Arabidopsis thaliana: one gene and its partners. The protein of the gene in region 2 interacts with the protein of the main gene of each other region in a pairwise test. Each region holds a gene or a part of one and is shown on either strand. Other genes may lie near its edges.

Evidence for each region.
Region 1: the proteins of TOE2 (region 2) and COP13 interact in binary tests that used the Arabidopsis thaliana proteins (3 or more experiments, as listed by UniProt).
Region 3: the proteins of TOE2 (region 2) and XRN4 interact in binary tests that used the Arabidopsis thaliana proteins (3 or more experiments, as listed by UniProt).

The regions. Positions count from the first base shown.
Region 1 is NC_003076.8:4,595,958-4,602,146, reverse strand, and holds COP13 (Proteasome component (PCI) domain protein), read right to left. Parts: upstream 4,280-6,189; 5' UTR 4,178-4,279; coding exon 3,981-4,177; intron 3,799-3,980; coding exon 3,683-3,798; intron 3,583-3,682; coding exon 3,336-3,582; intron 3,200-3,335; coding exon 3,142-3,199; intron 3,055-3,141; coding exon 2,965-3,054; intron 2,765-2,964; coding exon 2,699-2,764; intron 2,546-2,698; coding exon 2,456-2,545; intron 2,368-2,455; coding exon 2,209-2,367; coding exon of another isoform or gene 2,161-2,208; exon of another isoform or gene 2,117-2,160; coding exon 1,995-2,116; intron 1,814-1,994; coding exon 1,741-1,813; intron 1,658-1,740; coding exon 1,586-1,657; 3' UTR 1,312-1,585; downstream 1-1,311. Other genes in the region: AT5G14260 (Rubisco methyltransferase family protein), read right to left, coding at 1-2, 83-288, 450-525, 643-1,008; AT5G14240 (Thioredoxin superfamily protein), read left to right, coding at 4,579-4,826, 5,110-5,253, 5,354-5,559, 5,752-5,924. UniProt on the Arabidopsis thaliana protein: Component of the COP9 signalosome complex (CSN), a complex involved in various cellular and developmental processes such as photomorphogenesis and auxin and jasmonate responses.
Region 2 is NC_003076.8:24,205,490-24,212,965, reverse strand, and holds TOE2 (target of early activation tagged (EAT) 2), read right to left. Parts: upstream 5,278-7,476; 5' UTR 4,814-5,277; coding exon 4,281-4,813; intron 4,144-4,280; coding exon 4,118-4,143; intron 4,029-4,117; coding exon 3,998-4,028; intron 3,893-3,997; coding exon 3,805-3,892; intron 3,732-3,804; coding exon 3,586-3,731; intron 3,213-3,585; coding exon 3,124-3,212; intron 2,996-3,123; coding exon 2,805-2,995; coding exon of another isoform or gene 2,682-2,804; exon of another isoform or gene 2,671-2,681; coding exon 2,557-2,670; intron 2,388-2,556; exon of another isoform or gene 2,205-2,387; coding exon 1,899-2,204; 3' UTR 1,872-1,898; exon of another isoform or gene 1,505-1,871; 3' UTR 1,223-1,504; downstream 1-1,222. Other genes in the region: AT5G60130 (AP2/B3-like transcriptional factor family protein), read left to right, coding at 1-10, 112-750, 835-1,095.
Region 3 is NC_003070.9:20,348,316-20,356,919, forward strand, and holds XRN4 (exoribonuclease 4), read left to right. Parts: upstream 1-1,793; 5' UTR 1,794-1,984; coding exon 1,985-2,191; exon of another isoform or gene 2,192-2,381; coding exon of another isoform or gene 2,382-2,414; intron 2,415-2,955; coding exon 2,956-3,058; intron 3,059-3,133; coding exon 3,134-3,210; intron 3,211-3,295; coding exon 3,296-3,487; intron 3,488-3,642; coding exon 3,643-3,762; intron 3,763-3,868; coding exon 3,869-3,931; intron 3,932-4,011; coding exon 4,012-4,146; intron 4,147-4,266; coding exon 4,267-4,431; intron 4,432-4,616; coding exon 4,617-4,694; intron 4,695-4,932; coding exon 4,933-5,019; intron 5,020-5,122; coding exon 5,123-5,203; intron 5,204-5,326; coding exon 5,327-5,422; intron 5,423-5,759; coding exon 5,760-5,830; intron 5,831-6,011; coding exon 6,012-6,140; intron 6,141-6,222; coding exon 6,223-6,299; intron 6,300-6,387; coding exon 6,388-6,428; intron 6,429-6,539; coding exon 6,540-6,614; intron 6,615-6,823; coding exon 6,824-6,975; intron 6,976-7,071; and 9 more. Other genes in the region: AT1G54475 (LRR receptor-like Serine/Threonine-kinase), read left to right, coding at 88-717.

The sequences.
Region 1 (6,189 bases), about 20 Mb from region 2:
GCCTGAACCATGTTAAAGAAGTTAACCACTAAGAACCCACTATACTAGTTCATCACACGTCCGGCATATACTAACGCAATACCTTGGTAGGACTACCAGTTAGGTAATCTAACTCAGCCTCTGACCACAGCAAAGGGGATTCCGCATCTAACTGACCTCTTCCTCTTTGACGATCAAGTTCTCTTATATAGGGATACCATACTGATTTCTTTCCTTGTTTCTTCTCATACATCAAATACAAAGCTAGACAAGCCAGTTCGGATAATTTGTTCGTCGTCAACAGTTCAGCTGTGTGATAAAGAGAGTTTATATGGCTTCAGACAAGAATCAAAACACCCGTAATCCCACCCTTATCTAAGAGAAATCACAAAGTCTAATCCAAATATTATAGTGCATAACTGATGAAGTAGCTTTATGGAATAGGAAACATAATAGAGAATGTCTCATACCAATAGTCTCGTTTCCCAAAACTCTTTCCAGAGTAACCACCAGAGAATCAGGAACTGAAAACGCCACATCACCCTTCTGTAAAAGACAGGTAATTAGGAAAAATTTACCATCAAAACCCGGAAATTGATACTTGGAATACCCTATGGAACTGTGTATAAGCAAATAAAACTGTTGAAATGCTAAGTCAACCACCTGAAGATCCTCACTAGCAGCAACATAATGTATAGGTTTATGCTTCTGATCATGAGCTGGTCTCTCCTTGAGAATAACCTTGCAAGGTGGCAACCCATTCTTATCCATCCAAAACTTCAAATCCTCGGAGTCATCTCCTTCCTTCTTGCTCGATACTTTGCTCTGCCTCTCGTCTTCCTTTGGTGAACCGCTCGCGACTAAAGTATCTGAGCTCGAAACGCACAAGCTTCTTAGATGAACCGATCGCGATGAAGAGATCAATTTATTGTTCCTCCACCGAGGAAGTGAAGAAACCCTAGAAAGTGGGAAAGAACGAATTGGAAGAGAGACGCATTTCGTATGGAAACATGTGATAACCCCTTCCATCGGAATTATCAATTCCAAAATTCCGATTATGTCGAAACGTAAAGATTCTCCGGCGACGATTCTGAGGATTTTGCTCCGTTCTTCTTTTGCGTTTTCTCAGATTATTTTTTTCATTGAGGATAAGAGAGGGAAATGGAGAAATCAGGTTGAAAACGAAATGGGGAAGATGCGACATAAAAAATGAGTAAAGAAATAAAAATCTACGTGGCGCTTAGCGAGAATGGGCCTGAAACTAGCCCACCACAACAAGGAGTCTATCAGATTCCCCAAACGACACGCAGTTAAAAACGAGTTTGATACGACGCCGTTGAGACTTCTCTAACCCTTGCAAATGATAAAACGCTCGCGTAAGTTAGCACGAGAGATACACGCGCAAGGGGAAAATTTTTTAAGTAAAAGGGAAATAAAAGATTTGAGGGTCCATAATGGTCTTCTCTACTTGTTGGCAATTGTGACAAAAATATGAAACTTTTTAAACCAACAAAAATGAACAAAGAAATCAAAAGTAACATTCTCAAGATTCACACTACGGTTGTCTTTGAGCCAAGTTTTGTTGGTGCTTCTCGACTTTCGCTGTTTACATGGAGAACTTCTGAGGAACAGTATCGAAATCGTCTCCAAAGTCGTACCTTTGTCTTTCCCTTCCTACCTGAAAAAAAGTAGTCAAACGGCTTAGTCAGAGAAACATGGGTTTCCAGGACAGAAGACTAATGGAATATGGTATTAAATTACCTTTCCCAAGTATAAAGGGTCACATGATAAGCTCTCATCCATGGCTAAGAGATTCTTCGACAGACCAATAGTCCTGAAATTTTTATCAAAACACATAACTTGTTTGATGCTACTACTTTCCTTTGGCAAAACAGTCATCTCCATATCAACTTGATTCCAAGTGCTAATTATGCACTCCTTATTACGAGTTTCAACATTCAAGCAATGTTTCCCAAAAAAAAACCATATCAAAACACTTAGTTCTGTAGACATACCTTTGTATAACAGAATCCATGATCTCAATCATCTCACTAGATTTGTACTGCTCAGGGTCCTCCAAGAATCTGACCATCCCGTCTTTCTGGTTGATAAGGGCATGTATCTGACCATCCTGGATCTGCAGGTTTGTAAAGAAAAAAATGATATTGTCCAACATACCAGTTAAACTAATAAAGCTAGCTTCCAAAAATCAAGTGTGGGACACAATACCATCTGAAGCACATGCATTTCCGCCTCCTTAGCATTACCAAGTTGGACCATGTTGGCTATATCTTGAAGCGACAGGGTCAAGTACTTCTGTGTCAATCTCAGAATGTTACGCTTGTAAAGGGATGACACTGCTTGCTTAACTAATCCAAGGTTCTTATCCTGAAAGAGCATTTCGCCCAAGTTATGGAAGGGGATGAATATTTAATATTGGTACAGAAACTATGGTAAATGTTTAGAGGCAATTTACCTCTTCAAATTCTGCATTCCTGGCCACAACCAATGCCTCTAGTTCACCAATCTTCCCGTCGTTGTAACAATTACCCAGTTCAATGTAAGGCTGAGAAAAGGGTGAACGATAAAATCATAAGCCTGAAAATAGATTTAGCTGGTATGGAGTACAAAACAACTGAAATCTTTGGACTGAAGTGAAAAAGGGACCAGACTCCATTCAAACATGAAAAATACAACTAATGATCGGGTTCAAACTTACTCCGGTATAGTTCTTGAAGCTCCTCTGTGCTGCTGTAGAAGCACACTTGGGGAGAGTGTTAGTAAACTGCACAAGTAAAATCAAACAAGATTATAAGAAAAACATCATAAGATTAACCAATGCTTGAAATTAAAATCAGACACAGGATGTAATTGTGAAACCAACATTTCTCAAAAACATACAGTTGATTCAGACTCGTGCAATATGCTCCCATGACCGAAAACTAGATAAACAAAGAAAGTAAAATATAAAGAACACAGCCTTACCTGCCCATTGTGAATGAGAGACACCAATATGTACTTTTTGTACGCCTCAAGAGCTATGGCATTGACTTGATGCATAGGAGCAGTCACAACCTGATACAAGTACTTAGGTTGAGTTAAAACTAAAACGAAAGTCCTTAATGTATAAAAAGCACGTAAGAAAAAATAAAAATGCCTTACATTGTAAAGAAGCTCTAATGCTTTCTGAAATCTCTTCAGTCCAATACAAATCATTCCCCTATCAAAAGTCCAGGTAATCAAGGACCAGAATAAGAAAATACTATAAAACAAACCCAACAGGGATGGATTTAATGTGTTTACACATCTATTGATCAAAGGAAAAAAACAGATAGCAATGAGGAAAAATTGCTTACCCATAATAGCTATAGAGAAAAAAGTCTCTTGGCTGGTCAATCTCCACGATATCATCACTAAGAATGGAGAAACCAGATTTGTACGATTTCGCCTGCAAACAGAGTTGAAGAACATCTGGATGCAATGCAGTCAAACGCTTGGAGGAGACCTGAAGCTTCTGAACAGCGTTTAACAGTGGCCCTACTCCTCGCAACGGATCTCCCAGTGCTATAACATGGTCTTTCAATATCTTACAAAGAGATACAACTGCAAAATCAATATAATAACATCATCCATCTCCCCAAAGAAAAAAGAAAAGAAAACACATTAAGACAAGATAAGCTCTCATTAAGTGTCAGTAAATTACATTTATAGCTCGCCAAACGAATCTGCCCAGCATCACAAGAATTGATGAACCGTGCAATTATCGGTATCTCATAAGCAGCTTTCTCCTTCGACACTGGACCACAGGTAAGAACCTCACTGTAACAATCAAACCATACAAAAAACTCAAAGATCAGAAATCGAATAACATAGACAATTCTCCTTGTTAAACTTCGACCTAATCACACACATCAAGTTCCAATAACCAAAATCATCAATCAGCCTCAAAGTATACACAAACTAGTAACAAAAACCTAATCTACCAATAGGTTAAAACTCACAGGAAATACAGGTAACCGAGAGAGTGCTTCGAGGCGTCGAGCTGGTCAAGAGTAGAGAAATTAACACCTGGTTCGGCTCGGAGCGAGTCTTGAGCTCCTCTCAAAAGATCGTGAAGTGCAGATAAATCCTCTGGACTCCCCGATAAACCTTGGATTGACGTTATCACAGCCTCCACCGAGTTCACAGCTCCGATCATCTTCGATACTAAGACGAAAACACAAAAACCCTAATCGATCGCCCTTTTTCTCCCTCTCAAAATCTTTTGCTAAACTGTTTGTTTAATTATCTCTGGATCTTCTCCATAAAAATACATGCTCTCATAATATATATACGAACCCTCCGAACGGTTAAGAGTCTAATACATTACTCTAGAATAATAAACCAATATCTAACCGGCTTTTAAACCAAATATTCCCGGTTCGAAATGTACCAGATGGTAATTGTCGGTTTAGCCAGACCAATTTCGGGGATGGCCTTTTATCATTCGTCTTTCCAGAGAAAGAACGAGATTGCGATCACAGAGTGTCAAAGCAATCTGCTTTTTCTCCTCTCAGATTCAAAGGTTCTCTTTGAAGCTTCGTAGGTGGTTATACTTTGATGGCGGATTATCATTTCGTGTATAAGGACATTGAAGGAGCGTCAACTCAATGGGATGATATCCAGCGGAAATTGGGGAATCTACCGGAGAAGGCTCCGGCTTTCAAACCTCCGGCGTATACTCCGGCGGAAGACGAGTCTTCAGCTCCTAAGGATCAGGCATGGTTTGATAAGAAGACAGAGGAGGAGCTTGAGGATCTTGAGGACGACAAAGATCTCGACGATGATCGCTTTCTCGAAGAATACAGGTTCGTAGATCGAATCGAACATTCTGATTTTTGTATTTACAATCTTAACTTTCCCTGGAGAATCCTTGCCTTGGTGGATTGTGAATTCAATTTTCTCGGATCTGTTGCCATGTAGCTAGGGAATGCAATTATCAAGCTCTGGTTTTTCTCGATTCGTTTGTGTTTTGGATATGAATGCAATTGAGGGTAGTATCTTATTTGAGATGTTGATGAATAGGCTAAACATAATTGTGCAACACACTTCATGATTCACAGGCACTAATGTGTTTTGATGCTTTCATAGGAAGAAGAGGTTGTCTGAGCTAAGAGAGGCTGCTAAAGTTAAAAGATATGGAACAGTGACTCCCATCTCGGGCTCTGATTTCGTGAGGGAGGTTACGCAAGCTTCTGCTGAAGATTGGGTTGTTGTATGTCTCTATAAAGATGGGTATGTTTTTTCAAGTATTCGTGAACTCTTGTTGAGCCATTCTTTACTACATGCTTGAAACACTATTAACTCATGTTTATTTCTTGTTGTTCTCTGATAGTGTTGCAGAATGTAGTTTGCTATTGGGTTGTCTAGACGAATTGGGTAGTAGATACCCAGCAACAAAGTTCGTTAAGATAATATCTACTGATTGTATTCCGAACTACCCTGATTGCAATCTTCCTACCTTGCTGGTGTACCACCATGGCGCCATCAAAGGAACTCATGTAGGCTTAAAGAGCTTTGGCCGTAGGTGCACCCCAGAGAGTAAGTTTGAATGAACCCTTGTTTGTCTGATGTAATCTGTGCTTATTTGTGTTTGATGATTATGTCATGTCTCATCTCTAGCCTTTGTCTGATCTGAGACCTGATGTGACCACATTGGCGATTGTATCATGCTTTGAGCAGATTGGTCTTAGGCACATGTCTAACATACTTGCAACTGATTTGGTTTTTCAGGTGTAGCCTTACTTCTGTGTCAATCAGAGCCAGTTCTTAACGATGGCAAAGGAGGAGACGATGACTCCTCGAGGGAAGCTGTGATGGCTGGAGTTCGAAGACAGTTCATAGAACGAGTGGTGAAGGACCACGAAGATAAGGATAACGATGATGGTGGTTACAATAGTGATTAGAACTTCAAAGCTTCTCTGTTTATCTCTGTTGGTTATTGCTTGTTGAGTTGGTGACTGGTAAACAAAAGTGCTGACTTCTTGTGTGATGTAATGTTTTTTAAACATTTTGTAACTTTTGTTCTTTTGAAAGAGACAGGAACTTCATGTTGTTTTTTGATATCCAGGTATCACATGCCGAATTTTAGTGCTGGATCTAAGCCTGTGAATCCATGTAAGTTTAGAATAGTCTTTGTTTTGGACAAAGTAATAATCAAATTTGGAGAAT
Region 2 (7,476 bases):
AGATGATATGGTAAAACACTCTTCTCTTCTCTCTGTTTTTTTTGTGGGTTTTTCTGAGATGTTCTTCTGTAGATTTCTATTTGGTTGAAACTTTTAGATTGTATAATGCAGGTACTACCCATTTCTTTCACCAGATTTTTACCAAAGTCTTTGCCTGAAACTGTAACTGTTAGAAGCATTTCTGGAAATATTTGGAAATTGGAGTTAAAGAAATGTTGTGGTGATGATGATACTGAGAAATTCGTTATGGTTAATGGGTGGAAGAGGATTGTGAAGGACGAAGATCTCAAGGGAGGAGATTTCTTAGAGTTTGAGTTTGATGGCTCTAGTTGTTTCCATTTCTGTATCTATGAGCATAGGACAATGTGTAAAAAGATAAGAAGAAGTTCAGATCAAAGCGAGGAGATCAAAGTGGAATCTGATAGTGATGAACAAAATCAGGCCAGTGATGATGTTTTATCTCTTGATGAGGATGATGACGATTCTGATTATAATTGTGGTGAAGACAATGATAGTGATGATTATGCTGATGAAGCTGCTGTCGAGAAAGATGATAATGATGCTGATGATGAAGATGTTGATAATGTTGCTGATGATGTTCCTGTTGAAGATGATGATTATGTTGAGGCTTTTGATTCTAGAGATCATGCTAAGGCTGATGATGATGATGAAGATGAAAGACAGTATCTGGATGATCGTGAGAACCCATCTTTTACTCTGATCCTTAATCCGAAGAAGAAAAGCCAACTGGTAAGTAAAAACTGAATGTGAAAGAGCTTTTCATTTAACATCGTTGGGTTGTGAGTTTTTATGATGTTTTTTTTCATAAAGCAGCTCATCCCAGCTCGGGTTATCAAAGACTATGACTTGCACTTCCCTGAGAGTATCACTCTTGTCGATCCACTTGTGAAAAAATTCGGGACATTGGAGAAGCAGATCAAGATTCAGACAAATGGTAGTGTGTTTGTCAAGGGATTTGGCAGTATCATCAGAAGGAATAAAGTGAAGACAACGGATAAGATGATATTTGAGATCAAGAAGACTGGTGATAATAACCTGGTTCAAACAATCAAGATTCACATTATCAGTGGATGATTATTTATATCTCTCTCTCTCTCTCTCTCTCTCCATCTCTCTGTCTTTAGTTACGTGTTTTGGAGTTAAATCAAGATTATTGTGGTGTATTGAATTAATGTAAGAGTTTTTAATTTCTAAAACTTATCAGATCTATACAAATTTATAGTCTCTCAAGTCTCAATAGCTTTCTTCATTCATACATATAGAATGCATTGTACTTTACGCTGTTCATATTAATATCAGAGACATTATAGTAAAATGGCAAATGGGTTTGGGTTCTGTTTTGGTATTATCCCTCAGTTTATGTTACAAATCAAAAGCAGAAAGATAAATCACACAATGACAATAAGTACAACAGATCTTGGGAGAATTCAGCGTCGTTTTGGCTGGCCTTCCAACTTATTCCAACCTCAGGGCTGTGTAGAACCTGCACGTTCACATACAAAGTATGTTATTACGTGTAGTATTGTAGGATCTTAGGAAAACTATTGCCTCAAATATGTGTTTGAGATTGACAGAGAAGCAGAAAACAGGAGGGTGATAATACTACACAACTTGGAACTCTTCCTTAGTCTTCTTCTATTCGCTAAGCATTCATCATACTTTTCATGTTTCCATCAAGATTCATATGAATACAAACATCTCAAACTCTTTTTCTTTAGTGGTCTTCTATCAAAATTTTTTTTTTTTTTCTTTTGGATTGTAAACGTAACGTATAACAGGAAGAGGAAACTACAGCTTGTGTGCTGAGCCAAACGATGAGTTGAATGTTGTTGTTTCCAAGAAAGTCTTACCTTGAGTTATGCGGAGGAAGGAGGAAGCTATGGTGGTGGTTGTGGGCGGTTCATGAGATTGTGTTGGTGCTGAGATATGTAATCAGATGGGTGGATAACATAGAGACCGGGCTGATTCAGATTGACGAAGGGCTGAGAAGGATGATGAATAGCTGTGGATGAAGGAGGGCGTGTAGCTGAGAGTGAGAATCCTGATGATGCTGCATTTGAAAACAGTGGCGGTGCTGTAGCTGCTACGGCGGTCCCACCACTGGACTGATCATGCCCTTGCCATGTCCTGGCTGGGAAGCTTTGATGAGAACGTAACATAAGCCCTTTCTCTGGTGTTCTTTCCTGGAGACAAGAATTTAACTTTTAGGACAGAAGATTATTCATTCAAATCTTCAAGAATATCACAACATAGAAGAAGAACTAACAAGCAACAACATAGACCTGTTCTCAAAGGATATCAAAGAGTTGAGCTCAAGTACTTAACTGATCAAATATCACAACAGTAACCACTTGATGAACATCTAGCTGAATTTCATATCACACAAATTACTCATAGGTAGGGTAAAGTTCGATAAATTTAAAATTGTCATTCTATTTCATATTGTATGTTAGTTCTGGACAGAAGGTAAAAATTGTGAGGCAGTGACAAACAGTTGGATATAACGAGATGTGTGCTATGGTATTTACTATTTACCATGGGTGAAAAGAACGCAGAAGGAAGGGCATGCCGGTTATTAAGATGGTCTGAACCCCTCTTCAAGAAATTGAAAGGCGTATCACATGCCGCTGCAGCCATGTGGTTCTCCATCTGTGAGTATATCAAATGAAGAGCAAGAAATTCATGAATAAATGAAAAAACATGAGGGCTCGAGCTAGCAAAGGAGACAGTATCTTTGAGTTCCAGATTGCTATGACATATCGACAAAGAAACATTTGACTAACAGTTGCAGCAAAACGCATATGAAAGTAAAGTAAATCATATTTGGTGCACTGAAGAAAAAATTGCACCATGGTGTTCCTTCCACATACGGAATTGTTAGGGACATGGTGAAGCCGGAGGGCCCTATCTTTTTGCTTCGGACCATCTCCTAGTGAAAGAGAGATTCCCAAGTTGAGGTCGAGCTTAACATTAGCTAAATAATAAGATCAGGAAAACAAGTTAGTCGTAGCTTTTCAAATATTGAGCAGAGATATCAATGATGACAGCAAAAGCTGCATAGCATCGACCAGTTTAACAAGCAAGGAACATCAATTACATTACCTGCCTCGGGAATCATTCGGGATGCATGAGGCTCAATTAAGGAAGCAGCTTCCCTTCCCTTCCATTGTACGGCTGCCTTGTCACAACCCCTAATTCCATAAGAATCTGAGCAATTAGTCATGAATTTTCCTAATAGATCAATAATTCAGGATAAAAGACTTCCTCATAATGTAATTTACAACCATCACTAGCGTACAGCTCATACTCAGATGACAATCATCCCAAGATAGATATAAATGTCTCATAGCCATCAAAATCTCTATATATAACTCATAATCACAAACGGGTCTTCCTGCTAATGGTTCTAACAGAAGCCCTTTTCAACTAACGAAAAATTACCAAACTCTTCATCTGAACCACTCCACTCTTTTTAGCAATGACTGACAACCACATTCAGACAAAAACACAAATAACATAGCATTTGTAAAAGCCCATACTTAGATCCCAGGAAAAGTTAATTACATGTTTCCATGAAGCTGCTCCATTTGAGCTCCCCACCCGCCAATCTTTTGCAAAGCAACTCCTTGATATCTAGAATTATTCCTTGAGAAACCAGAGCTCTGTCGCCGAAGTACTTGCACAACTTCCTCTTTGGAAAGATTCGCCATCTGTAAAGTTTGAAAACCAGATAAGAACAAATCAAAGCGTACATGTCTTCATTTGTACATCTGTAATCAAAACCTGCTTGAGATCCTCTTCATAATCGCCAATAACGAAATTGATGTCAGCTTCCAGACCCCGGAATTTGACAGCAGCTCGATCATACGCCCTACACCAACGAAAGTTGAACTTAGGAAACAATTGTATCATAACGAAAAAACAGTTGAGTGATCAATAAGATCAAACAAAAAAATATCATTTCCAAAGGCATTACCTAGCTGCAGCATGGGCAGTATCAAATCCACCTATTGAATTCAAAAGTTAAAGCTTTTATTAGAGAACTAAGATCCCAGCAGAAATCAGTTCACAGTAGTACAGCCATTAGAATCCATACCTAAATAAACTTGTTTACCGCAATCCCTGCAACCATGAAAATTGACAAAAAAGAAACTTGTAGATTAATACAAAATCTAAACCAAGCTCTTCCATTTTCGACCAAAGATCAACAACTCATCTAAGACCTATCTAAAAGATAAATCAATCAGTAGTAGATATACCAGATATGCGATTCCCATCTGCCTGTCCTCCGATAGAAAGTGACGCCTCTATACTGAGAACTCTTAGACCTAGGACCTCTCCTGCTTTTCTTCACCGGCTGTGATGGTGGCTGCATCACCCGTGAAGCATCGCCACCACCGCTCCCGCTACCTATAAAGTCTCCACCTTGTTTCCCCCTCTGGAAGGAAATATCAACGGTGCTCCTTGAACTTTGAGCGCTCGAATCCATAAAGTTCATGCCTTTAGCAACAGGAAAAAACTCCTTAGTCATCATCACAGCACTTCTTTCATCATCATCTTCTTCTTCTTCTTCTCCTCCTCCTTTCAGTATCTCAAATTGAAACTTGACCGTTCGTGTAGAGCACAACTCATCTTCACCATCTATACAGCTAGAAGCTTCAGCATTAACAACAGAAGAGTTCGACGTCACCGATTCATCCATCTGATTCAAAGAAACCCCTTTAACAGTAATCGAATCTCGTTCGTTCTGAGTAGACTCGGTCGAGTCGACGTCGAGATTGAGATCCAGCATCAATCTCAAAAAAGTCAACAAAAAAGCAAACAAAACTCTGAGCTTTCACAACAACAACAAAAACTATTTCTTCAAGCTCTTACTTACACATTGATCAATAAATTCAACGATCGCCGTCGATTTGAAATAAACAGAGCTCATAAATCACATTACATAGGTGAAAATCAGCACGAGTATGGAGAAATCAAACGGAGATTTAGATTCTGAAATCAATCAAAAACACGACGGAGGAGGAGAAGGAATAATAACCAAAGAGAAAGAAGGAAAAAGCTCAATCACTAAGGAGAGAAATGAGATTGAGGAGACATGGAGATGAAGAGTTGAGTATTGGTCTATGGGGATTTGAAGAGACAAAATAGCTATCGCCGGACGAAAGAGATAATCGTCGGCGATTAGAGAAAATAAAAAGAGAACGGGGAATGATGATGGGACGTAAGCCTGTGGGTTAGTGGCAACAAAGGAACATTTTAACATTTATTTATTCCTTCCATCTTTCTCGGCAATTTGATACCGGTTTTGCCTGTTTCCGGTTTGAAGTAAAAACGTGCTACTTGTTTTTGTTTTATTAGCTTGGTTTAAATTTATGATTAGTGCTTTTACAGTTTTACTATGATAAATTTACGGTTTAAACTGTATGTGTTAAGCTTTTCTGTGATTTCTTTACCAAGATAAGTTATTAAATACAGTATTAGTACTAAATAGATCTGTTAAGGCCTAGGGACAATGAGGTGCATTTTGTTCATGGAATGAGGATTTAATGGATGTGTTCATCTTGGTTAAATCAATTTGAAGCGTGTTCTTCGAAACATTTTGTAAACACATCTGAAAATCATCAAATTTAATTGGGGTTTCACTTTTTATCCTTGAACAAACTCAACTAAAGTGATTTAGTAATTCAAATTTATAGAATGAATCAAACGAAATTCGTTTTTGTATCCTATATAGTATATCTTATTATTAATCTGCAAACAAAGATTGGTAAAGAAAAGCGAATCTACACTATTATATTCACAACTTTGAAGACACATAAAAACCAAAAAACACTTTGAAGTCACATATTCATAGCTTTGAAGACAAAGCATTTGTTTTCATTTAATGGCGGGTCCTATATTTGCAGCTACGTCCTCCTCACAAACAAAAATCTGTAAAGACTTAAAAGAGTGAGATAGAATAATATGACTTTTTATTGATTTATATGGATAACAAGTATCCAACCAACGTAACAAATGTGTCACATGTAAAAAAAAATGTGTCACATGTTAGAAAAAGGTGTAGAAGCTAGCTATAATCAACAATTACATGCATAAAGTAACAAAAGTTATATCATTTTAAGAAGTTGTTATTATTACAAAAACGAATGTGTATGGAAAATAGTTAAAGATGATGGGGAAAAAAATCACTAACATCAGGTTTGATAGCTTTAGTTTTTCTTACTGGACATAGTGATGAAATTTTGTTTTAATTTCTAAGGTTTTGACACATTAATTACTATTGAAATTGAATGATGTATGTTATCTTCGCCTTGTTTGTAGCCAAGTTTTAGTAAGGCCTTGAATGAGTGTGGTTTTTAAACTAGTTTTTGGTTTTAATTTTTTCTAAAATCTATTTTGTAGCCATTCAAGATTTTGAGAAAACAAGTTTTCCTAAAATATAGGAAATCTAGTTTTTGAGTGTTTTAACAATTTTTCAAAGAAAACCAAAATCTATGTTTTGGGAGTTTCTCTCTCAAAAACAATCGATCACATTTTTTATTTTATTTTTAGATTTGTTTTGTAAAAAAAATACTATCCATTAACATAAAAACCAAAATCTAAACAAATTACCATTCAAGTTTTTTAAGAAACTAAAATCTACACCAAAAACAAAAACCAAGAAAATCAAAAACTAAAAACCAAAAACCAAAATCCAAAATCCAAAAACCATTTTAAAAACTACAAACATTCATGGCCTAAATAAAAATGAAGCATGTGTTTCCTAGTTCCTACAATATCACATTGTAAAAATCTATCAAGGCTAGAGAAAATTATCTCTGCATCAACTGTGTCTCAATTTTCTTTTAGATTTTCATTGAATGAATAGCTATAAGTAGAAAAAAAACACATATCCGATCAAACGTTGATAACACAAACATATTGTATCAAATCTTATGGTATCTTGTATTCATTAGTATTGTCTAAATCTCTAAGACTACTACATAGCTTGAGAGCAATGTGATACAAAGAGATCAACAAAGAAATGGATAGGTTTCCAAAATGGATAATTTCGAAAGTCTAAAACAAAATATATTTTGAGTACAAGAAGACATAGGAAAGAACAAAAGCCAATAAAGGGGGATTCTTTTACAATCAAAGGAAATTATTGTTTATTAAAAATAGAAATAAAATGTACGTAACAACGTATTATGTTCTTAACACAGGTTACGGGCGAAAAAATGAAAATGACCTAAAAATATCTATTCTTTGTGTCCATACGAATCTCTTTTTTCTTTGGAAATGTTTATTGAGTGGGGTAGGTCAAATGAACATTCCGACTGGTTTTAGCCGGTTGCCAAAACTTAAGAGTGTCAGAAAAATCTCGAAGATCATGGATTTTAACGAGTAGTATAAAGCCACGTGTACAACAGAGATTGAACCCCAGCCATTCAACTACTCTCTCAGCCATCT
Region 3 (8,604 bases), on a different chromosome or scaffold from region 2:
CCGTTCAAGTTTTACGAATCCACATTTGTGGTAGAGGATTTTGTGGTAATATCCTCTAGTTTTCAAGAAATTGAAATCAAATTTTCAATGAAGCGAAGGTATGATTCTTATTTTGGAGCAACTGAATTCAACAATGACGTACTTGATTATATGTATGGAATGGACCTATCAAGCAATGAGTTAAGTGGGGTTATCCCAGCAGAGCTTGGAAGTCTCTCAAAGCTACGAGTCATGAATTTATCTTGCAACTTCTTGTCCAGTTCAATACCATCTAGCTTCTCCAATCTCAAGGATATTGAGAGCCTTGACCTTTCGCATAACATGTTACAAGGAAGTATTCCTCAACAACTAACCAACCTTTCTTCTCTTGTTGTCTTTGATGTGTCTTACAATAATTTATCCGGAATCATTCCCCAAGGAAGGCAGTTTAATACCTTTGACGAGAAAAGCTACTTGGGAAATCCTCTTCTTTGTGGACCACCGACCAATAGAAGTTGTGATGCTAAGAAGACCTCAGATGAATCAGAAAATGGAGGAGAAGAAGAAGATGATGAAGCTCCTGTTGATATGTTGGCCTTCTATTTTAGTAGTGCTTCGACTTATGTAACTACATTGATAGGCATTTTTATACTTATGTGCTTTGATTGTCCTTTGCGTCGAGCATGGCTCCGCATTGTCGATGCTTCCATCGCCTCAGTCAAAAGTATGTTGCCTTAAAATCATTTCACTTCAGTTTTTACGTACCATTGTGTTTCTATAACTATATTGCTTTGGATTTTACCTGACATGGTTAATAATAATGTGTGCTTTGGATTTTACCATACACGGTAATGAGTCGTATGGAAGAATTATTGTGTACGATCGATAGTTTTTTTTGACAGATTTATTCTTTTAGTGATAGAGAAAAAAGTAAGTAACAATTTTTTTTTAAGAGATATATATTTGGTAACGACAGAGCTGTTTCTTTCAATGGATTTATTTTTCATAGCGACATAGTTAATGTAACAAATTAATGACTAAAGTAGCACAACATTGACTCTAGACTTATTCTACGTCCTAGTAAATTTGTTAATTAATGGAATCAACTTTTAGAAATAGTTGTGACATAGTAAGTCCGTATTGGCTGTGATAGACTTGAGTCTGATTGAAATGGGAAAACGTTGATATGAAAGTGGTGACAAACTTAATATCACCAAACTAAATTACTAACTCTCTCATAACTATGAATATAACTGTCACAATTACAAGTATAACTCTATCATAACTCATAACTATATATGGTTAAATGAGTATGTAACTAACTATAGTTCACAAGGGTAATATATATAGTAAATTCTTGATTGCTAGATGCAGGAGGGTAAACTTGAACTTTGTTGTGGTATCTAGATACTTTCGGACAAATAACGTATAGGTGATGAAACAAAGTGCATATCTTATTGTACAGTTTTAGACTTTAATTTGGATAACCCTACTCATTGCCAAGGTTATTATCGTTTAGGGATATGATTTTGCAAAGATAATTCTCCCAATAGAAACTTAGGAACTTGCCGAGTTCTAAATTTCTAATGAAGAAAACCATATCTCATAAAATTTAAGAATTTGTGGCTTATTGTGTTAAGTTACTAAATCCTAGAGATGAATGCTTAGTTTGGTAATAAAAACCAAGAAAATCTCATTACGTCACTTTGAGACCACAACTAAACCCGTTTGAACAAAGTGGGTAAAGTAAATCCGGCCCAATAAAGCCCATTTATTTCCAAGAGAATAATAATTAGAAACCGGAGAGACTTCACGGATAGGGTAAAAAAGAACTCAGAGGTTAATCGGAAAAATAAATATTTGGGGTGAAGAGAAGCTTCTTCTGCTCAATCATGTCTAACAACTTTGGTGACAGCTAAAGAAAAACTAAGTTAGAAGAATATTTAGATAACCTTCAAGCTCGAGACCACTCGGATCTCTCTCTAATCGCCGATCGGAATCCGCCATGGGAGTACCGGCGTTCTACAGATGGCTCGCTGACCGATACCCGAAGTCAATTAGTGACGTCGTTGAAGAAGAACCTACCGATGGAGGTCGTGGTGACCTTATTCCTGTTGATATCACCAGACCTAACCCTAACGGCTTCGAATTTGATAATTTGTATCTCGATATGAATGGTATCATTCATCCTTGTTTCCATCCTGAAGGAAAGGTATGTTGTAGCTCAGAAATGTTTGGTTAGGGTTTGAGTTGATTTGTTGTATGAGAAATGAAATCAATGAGTTTAGTAGTTTGGTGGTGGAGAAGATTATTGTTGTCTGTATTCGTAGTTTAGTACAGTTATGAGAGAAGGAGAAGTATACTAGTTGTTGCTTTTCCTCGATTTTGCTTCCTGCACGTCAATGGAAGCGATGGCCAACTTGGTGATACTAGACGTAGGGTATCTAACTTTTCTGAAGTGTATGATTAGAGTTTGAGTTGATTGTATTAGGCAGTAACAAGTAGACATGGATCGTATGAGAAATGAAATCACTAAGTTTGGTATTTTGGTGAGAAGATGATTTTTTTTTGGTGTTCATAATTTAGCTCTTTTATTGGGGAAGGGAGGAGTGTACTAGTTGTTGCTTTCCGACTATTTTTGCTTACCGAAAGTCAATAGAAGCAATGGCCATTTTTGTGATACTAGATTTTGGGATCTAAAGTTCAGTTCAGAAAGTGATTTAGATATATTATTTGGGAAATTGGATGCTTATGGCTGTGTGTATTTTGTTCATGTATCACTTATGCGAGTCTAAAGTCAGTTTTTTTATAAAAATAGTTGACTAGAAAATTAAAAGACACTGATGTTATTAGTTTTTCATTATAGTTGAGGAGATATTATCGAAGGGAGTGAGTTTGCATAGCAATACGTGTTATGGTGATACTTGATTTCCATTAAAGATTTTACTAGCTAATCGTACTTTGATTACAATGCAGCCTGCACCTGCCACGTACGATGATGTATTTAAATCAATGTTTGAGTACATTGACCATCTTTTTACTTTAGTGCGTCCGAGGAAGATTCTTTATTTGGCTATAGGTGATCTTGTGTTTCCTTTTTATCATCTGTCTGTTTTGCTCTGTGAGATGTGGTTGATTAAATATACTGTTGCAGATGGAGTTGCGCCGAGAGCAAAGATGAATCAGCAGCGTTCTCGACGTTTCAGAGCTGCAAAGGACGCAGCAGAGGCTGTATGTTCTCTTTGTGTTTCTATTTTTACATTTACTCTTGGCTTTACATGGGTCACTGTTGCTTATACTATTTCTGGTTTAATAGGAAGCTGAGGAAGAGAGGTTGAGAAAAGATTTTGAGATGGAGGGCCAAATCTTGTCCGCTAAAGAGAAAGCTGAAACCTGTGATTCAAATGTCATTACTCCTGGGACCCCTTTTATGGCTATACTGTCAGTCGCTCTTCAGTATTACATCCAATCTAGGTTAAACCATAACCCTGGCTGGAGATATGTTAAGGTGTGATACTGTTTCATCTAACTTAGCAGCTATTTCCAAACTGTACAAGACTTTTCGCATTCTTGCAGTTTCTCTTTTTTTTTTGGTGTTGTCCCTTTACTTTTGGTTTTAAAGGTAATTTGTCTCCCTAAGAAGTCGTGGATTATTATTTGAAGGTAATTCTTTCTGATTCAAATGTTCCGGGAGAAGGAGAACACAAGATAATGTCATACATTCGTCTCCAACGTAATCTTCCTGGTTTTGATCCAAATACACGGCATTGTCTATATGGTCTGGTTAGTGTCAACCCATAATGTACTTGTTTTATTTTCTTAAATAAGGTGTTGGTGCTTCGTCCAAAAATTTGCACATTACATTTGCCAACTGTATATTATTATGCAGGATGCAGATTTGATAATGCTCTCCTTAGCTACACATGAAGTTCACTTTTCCATCTTAAGAGAGGTAGCTGATTTCCACCCCTACGCTCTATATTTTCTTTGATATTCAGTTGATCAAATGATGGGTCATCTTTTTGATTCCAGGTTATCACTTACCCTGGGCAGCAAGAGAAATGCTTTGTGTGTGGACAAACTGGCCACTTTGCTTCAGATTGCCCTGGAAAATCAGGTAGCAATAATGCAGCAGCTGATATTCCAATCCACAAGAAAAAATATCAGGTTTGTAGTTTTCCTTGTTATCTCCAAGAGATCTTGCTGCAGTGAACAACAGAAAATTATTTTATTTTACTTTTGGAGCTTTCTCTTATTTGTCTGATGTAATTTTTTTTTTGAAAATAGTTCCTGAACATTTGGGTGTTGCGAGAATATCTGCAATATGAATTGGCCATTCCAGATCCTCCTTTTATGATCAACTTTGAGAGAATAATAGACGACTTTGTATTCCTTTGCTTTTTTGTTGGTAATGACTTCCTACCTCATATGCCTACACTGGAAATTCGAGAGGTATGTACATGGTATAGCTTTTTATTCCTTAAAGGATTGGCTGTTCGTAAAGTGATGGTTGTGTAGATTAGAAAATATAGTAATAGCCTTGTGGAAGATAAATATCCTGTTTCATGCTCTACAATACCACTGAGGCACTGAAAAATTAGTCTGTTTCTTTAAACCAAGTTTCTTTGTTACTTCAGGGGGCTATAAACTTGCTGATGCATGTTTACAGAAAGGAGTTTACAGCTATGGGAGGCTATCTAACAGATTCTGGTGAGGTAAGTTATTGTTTCTTTTTTTAATCTTCTCCCACATTTCATTCTCGCTTGACATTGCTCAATACCCTATTTTGTATGAGCTGTAGAAATGGTCAGTTATCTTGTGGAAACTATTTTCTCGCTTCTATTTAGTCTGGCTATATGATTACTAATGAAAATCGGAACTGCATTATATCTGTGGGCTTCATTTCTTTTAATCGTTAACCCATTGACAACTTCTTTTTTTCTCCATTGATAGGTTTTACTAGATAGGGTAGAGCATTTCATTCAAGCTGTCGCTGTAAATGAAGATAAAATATTTCAGAAAAGAACGCGGATAAAACAGGTAATCTTAACCTTTACCCTATTTTCCTACACAACCCTTTGGAGGCTTTAGGAACTGTGCTCACACCCTTATGAGGCTAATGGTGTGTTGATGTTGGTATCAGTCAATGGATAACAATGAAGAAATGAAGCAAAGATCTAGAAGGGACCCATCTGAGGTACCACCTGAACCGATAGACGATAAGGTAAAATAGTTTACTGCAAAGAACTCTTATATGTGCCTGTGAGCTGGAGAGATTCTTATATATTTATTGAAAAGGAAATTAGTGTAGGAGGAACGACTAAAACTGCTCTTTCATTTTGGGTAGATTAAATTAGGAGAACCAGGCTACAAGGAGAGGTATTATGCTGAGAAATTTAGTACGACCAATCCAGAGGAAACTGAGCAAATCAAACAAGACATGGTGAGTTTTACGTCAATTAACGCTCTCTGTCACTCTTCTGAATCTCTAATGATTTGTTATAATAAGTCTAAAGTTGGAAAAAGGTATCTTTTGGCGATGTGCTACTTTGATTATGTGTGCATTTAGACTTTTTAACATCCTATTAACTCCCTCATGTTGAAAATTTCTGCCCACGGAATTTAGCTCTTAATATTTTCACAGTTCTTTTTTTTTCTTTTATGGAGGCTTATAGCGCGATATGAACTACTTCATTGAAGTGACTCTCAAAACAGTTTGGAATTGGATGAACAATAACTAGTTATCTATTCTGATCATTCATTACCTATTTTCGTTGTAGGTACTGAAATATGTTGAAGGTTTGTGCTGGGTTTGCCGGTACTACTACCAAGGTGTATGCTCTTGGCAATGGTAAGTCTGACTTTACAAAAACTTAATGTCATGTTATTCCCATGAGAGCCATGCATTCTAACAAAAACTTGGTCTCTTCTCGGGAAAGACCTTGATGTTGATGTCACTTACTGAGAAATACTAAGCTGCAAATTTTAAATGTAATTTTGTGTTTTCTTACACTTTCTTCTAATTGTTTCAGGTTTTACCCATACCATTATGCTCCATTTGCTTCAGATCTTAAGAATCTACCTGATTTAGAAATCACATTTTTTATTGGAGAGCCCTTTAAACCTTTTGACCAGTTAATGGGAACCCTGCCGGCTGCAAGGTTCTTCCCTTTTTTTGGAACCTTAATTATTAATATTGTGGGCCTCTATGGTGATGTAAATTGTGTTTCTTGGTTGTTGCAGCTCAAATGCGCTGCCTGGAGAATACCGGAAGTTGATGACTGATCCCTCATCCCCGATACTTAAATTTTACCCTGCTGGTAATTGTTGATACTGAATTTGTATTGTTGTTTTCCTATATATTCATGCTGGATAGTTGACACTCATAAGCTATCATTCTATTTATAGATTTTGAGCTTGACATGAATGGAAAGCGCTTCGCCTGGCAGGTTCATGGTTGTTTGTATTCTTTGGATATAGTATTGATGTTATCATGCTGAGACTGTGTATTTTGTTCTTCAGCTGTTGATGTTGTGTGTTTTGCGCTTGTTGTTATCTAGGGTATTGCAAAACTTCCTTTCATTGAGGAGAAATTATTGTTAGCTGCTACAAGGAAGCTTGAAGAAACTCTAACGGTTTGAACTGAACCTTGACTCGAAATGCATAATGTTTGATCAAAACTTTATTCTCTCCAAAGGAAACTATAATTCTTTCTGAAAGATGATTCTTGGACCTGCAGGATGGTTTATTTGCTAGTTATAAAGTAGTTTTATAGCTTAGATTGCTCTAGCCATCAGTTTTCATGGCAGTTTATGATTAACTACAATATGGATCCATCTTTCAGGTGGAAGAACAACAACGCAACAGTGTGATGCTTGATTTGTTATACGTACACCCCGCTCATCCACTGGGCCAGCGGATTCTGCAGTACTATCATTTCTACCAGCACATGCCACCACATGAATGTCTTCCATGGATGATTGACCCGAATTCTAGGTTTGTTTTTATTGGCTAAATTGATAACTAACAAGCTGTGTGTACTCTGGATATCGAGCTTGTTCTTAATCATCAATTCGTTTGTGTTTGTTGCAGCCAAGGAATGAACGGTTTTCTTTGGTTTAGTGAAAGGAATGGTTTCCAAACTAGAGTGGATTCCCCTGTCAATGGTTTGCCATGCATTGAGCAGAACCGAGCCTTGTGCGTTTCTTGTACTTCACAAGTTAGTGTTCATGAAATTGATGAAGTCTTGATTTACTCACTTATATTTTCCTCTACATTTTCCAGAAATGTTACATACCTGTGTCCTGCCAAACACTCTCATATCTCAGAACCACCCAGAGGAGCGATCATTCCGGACAAGGTATGATTCCTCAAAGGAATTCGTCATGAACAGTAGTCCATCTCTACTGCATCAAAATAAATAGAAACTTAGGTTTTTATAGCGTTTATGAGAATCTACTTGCTTGCATCTCAAATGTCTATGTTTTCTTACCAGTCTATTTATCTGCTGAATATTCATTGCAAAACAAGTGTTCTTATGAAAGTTCAATTGGCAGATCTTGACGTCAGTAGATATAAAGCCATTTCCTCCTTTATGGCATGAAGACAATAGCAACCGACGCCGACAAGCCCGAGATAGGTAAGGAGATTTTACTGCAGACTGATATTTTGAAGATCATAGTGTGAATTATGTTAAAAGAACCATATGGTATATCTATTGTGCAGGCCGCAAGTGGTTGGAGCTATAGCAGGGCCTTCTCTGGGAGAAGCAGCTCATCGTCTGATCAAAAACACCCTTAACATGAAATCCTCTACTGGTGCGGCTTCGGGATTAATTGACCCAAACGGATACTACCGAAATGTACCGGGTAATTATTCTTATGGTGGAGTCAATAGACCAAGAGCACCGGGTCCGTCTCCTTACCGGAAAGCTTATGACGATGACTCGAGCTATTACTATGGAAAGTATAACAATAGCACACAGGGAACGTTTAACAATGGTCCAAGATATCCTTATCCATCAAATGGGTCACAAGACTATAACCGGAACTACAACTCCAAGATAGTAGCAGAACAGCACAACCGTGGTGGACTTGGAGCTGGAATGTCTGGTTTATCGATAGAAGATAACGGCAGAAGCAAACAATTGTATTCAAGTTATACAGAAGCTGCTAATGCAAATTTGAACCCGTTGCCATCACCCCCCACCCAATGGATCGGTACACAGCCAGGTGGTAATTTTGTCGGTGGATACTATAGGGATGGAGTTGGGTACAGTGAAACAAATGGAAAATCGGTAAAGAAAGTAATTTACCAGGCCAAGACACAACCAAGTCATCGAGGTGCAAACTTGTGAGATATTAGTTGAGGCGCATAAGGAGGTTCTTCTGTACAGGTGAGTTCCTTTCTTTTGCTGCAATGGTCTTATGTATGGTAGCATCATCTGCCATCAGTTCTCTTAAATTTCTGGCTAAAGGCAAATGTATAATGTACCTTTGGACATTTCTTTTGTTATATATACTTATTACATTAAACTTGTTTAGAGTCCTTAAGAGATCTCTTGGCAATTGGATGTTATTCGACTCTCTGTTTCTTCTACCGTGTTTCGCTATTGGTTTTAACATT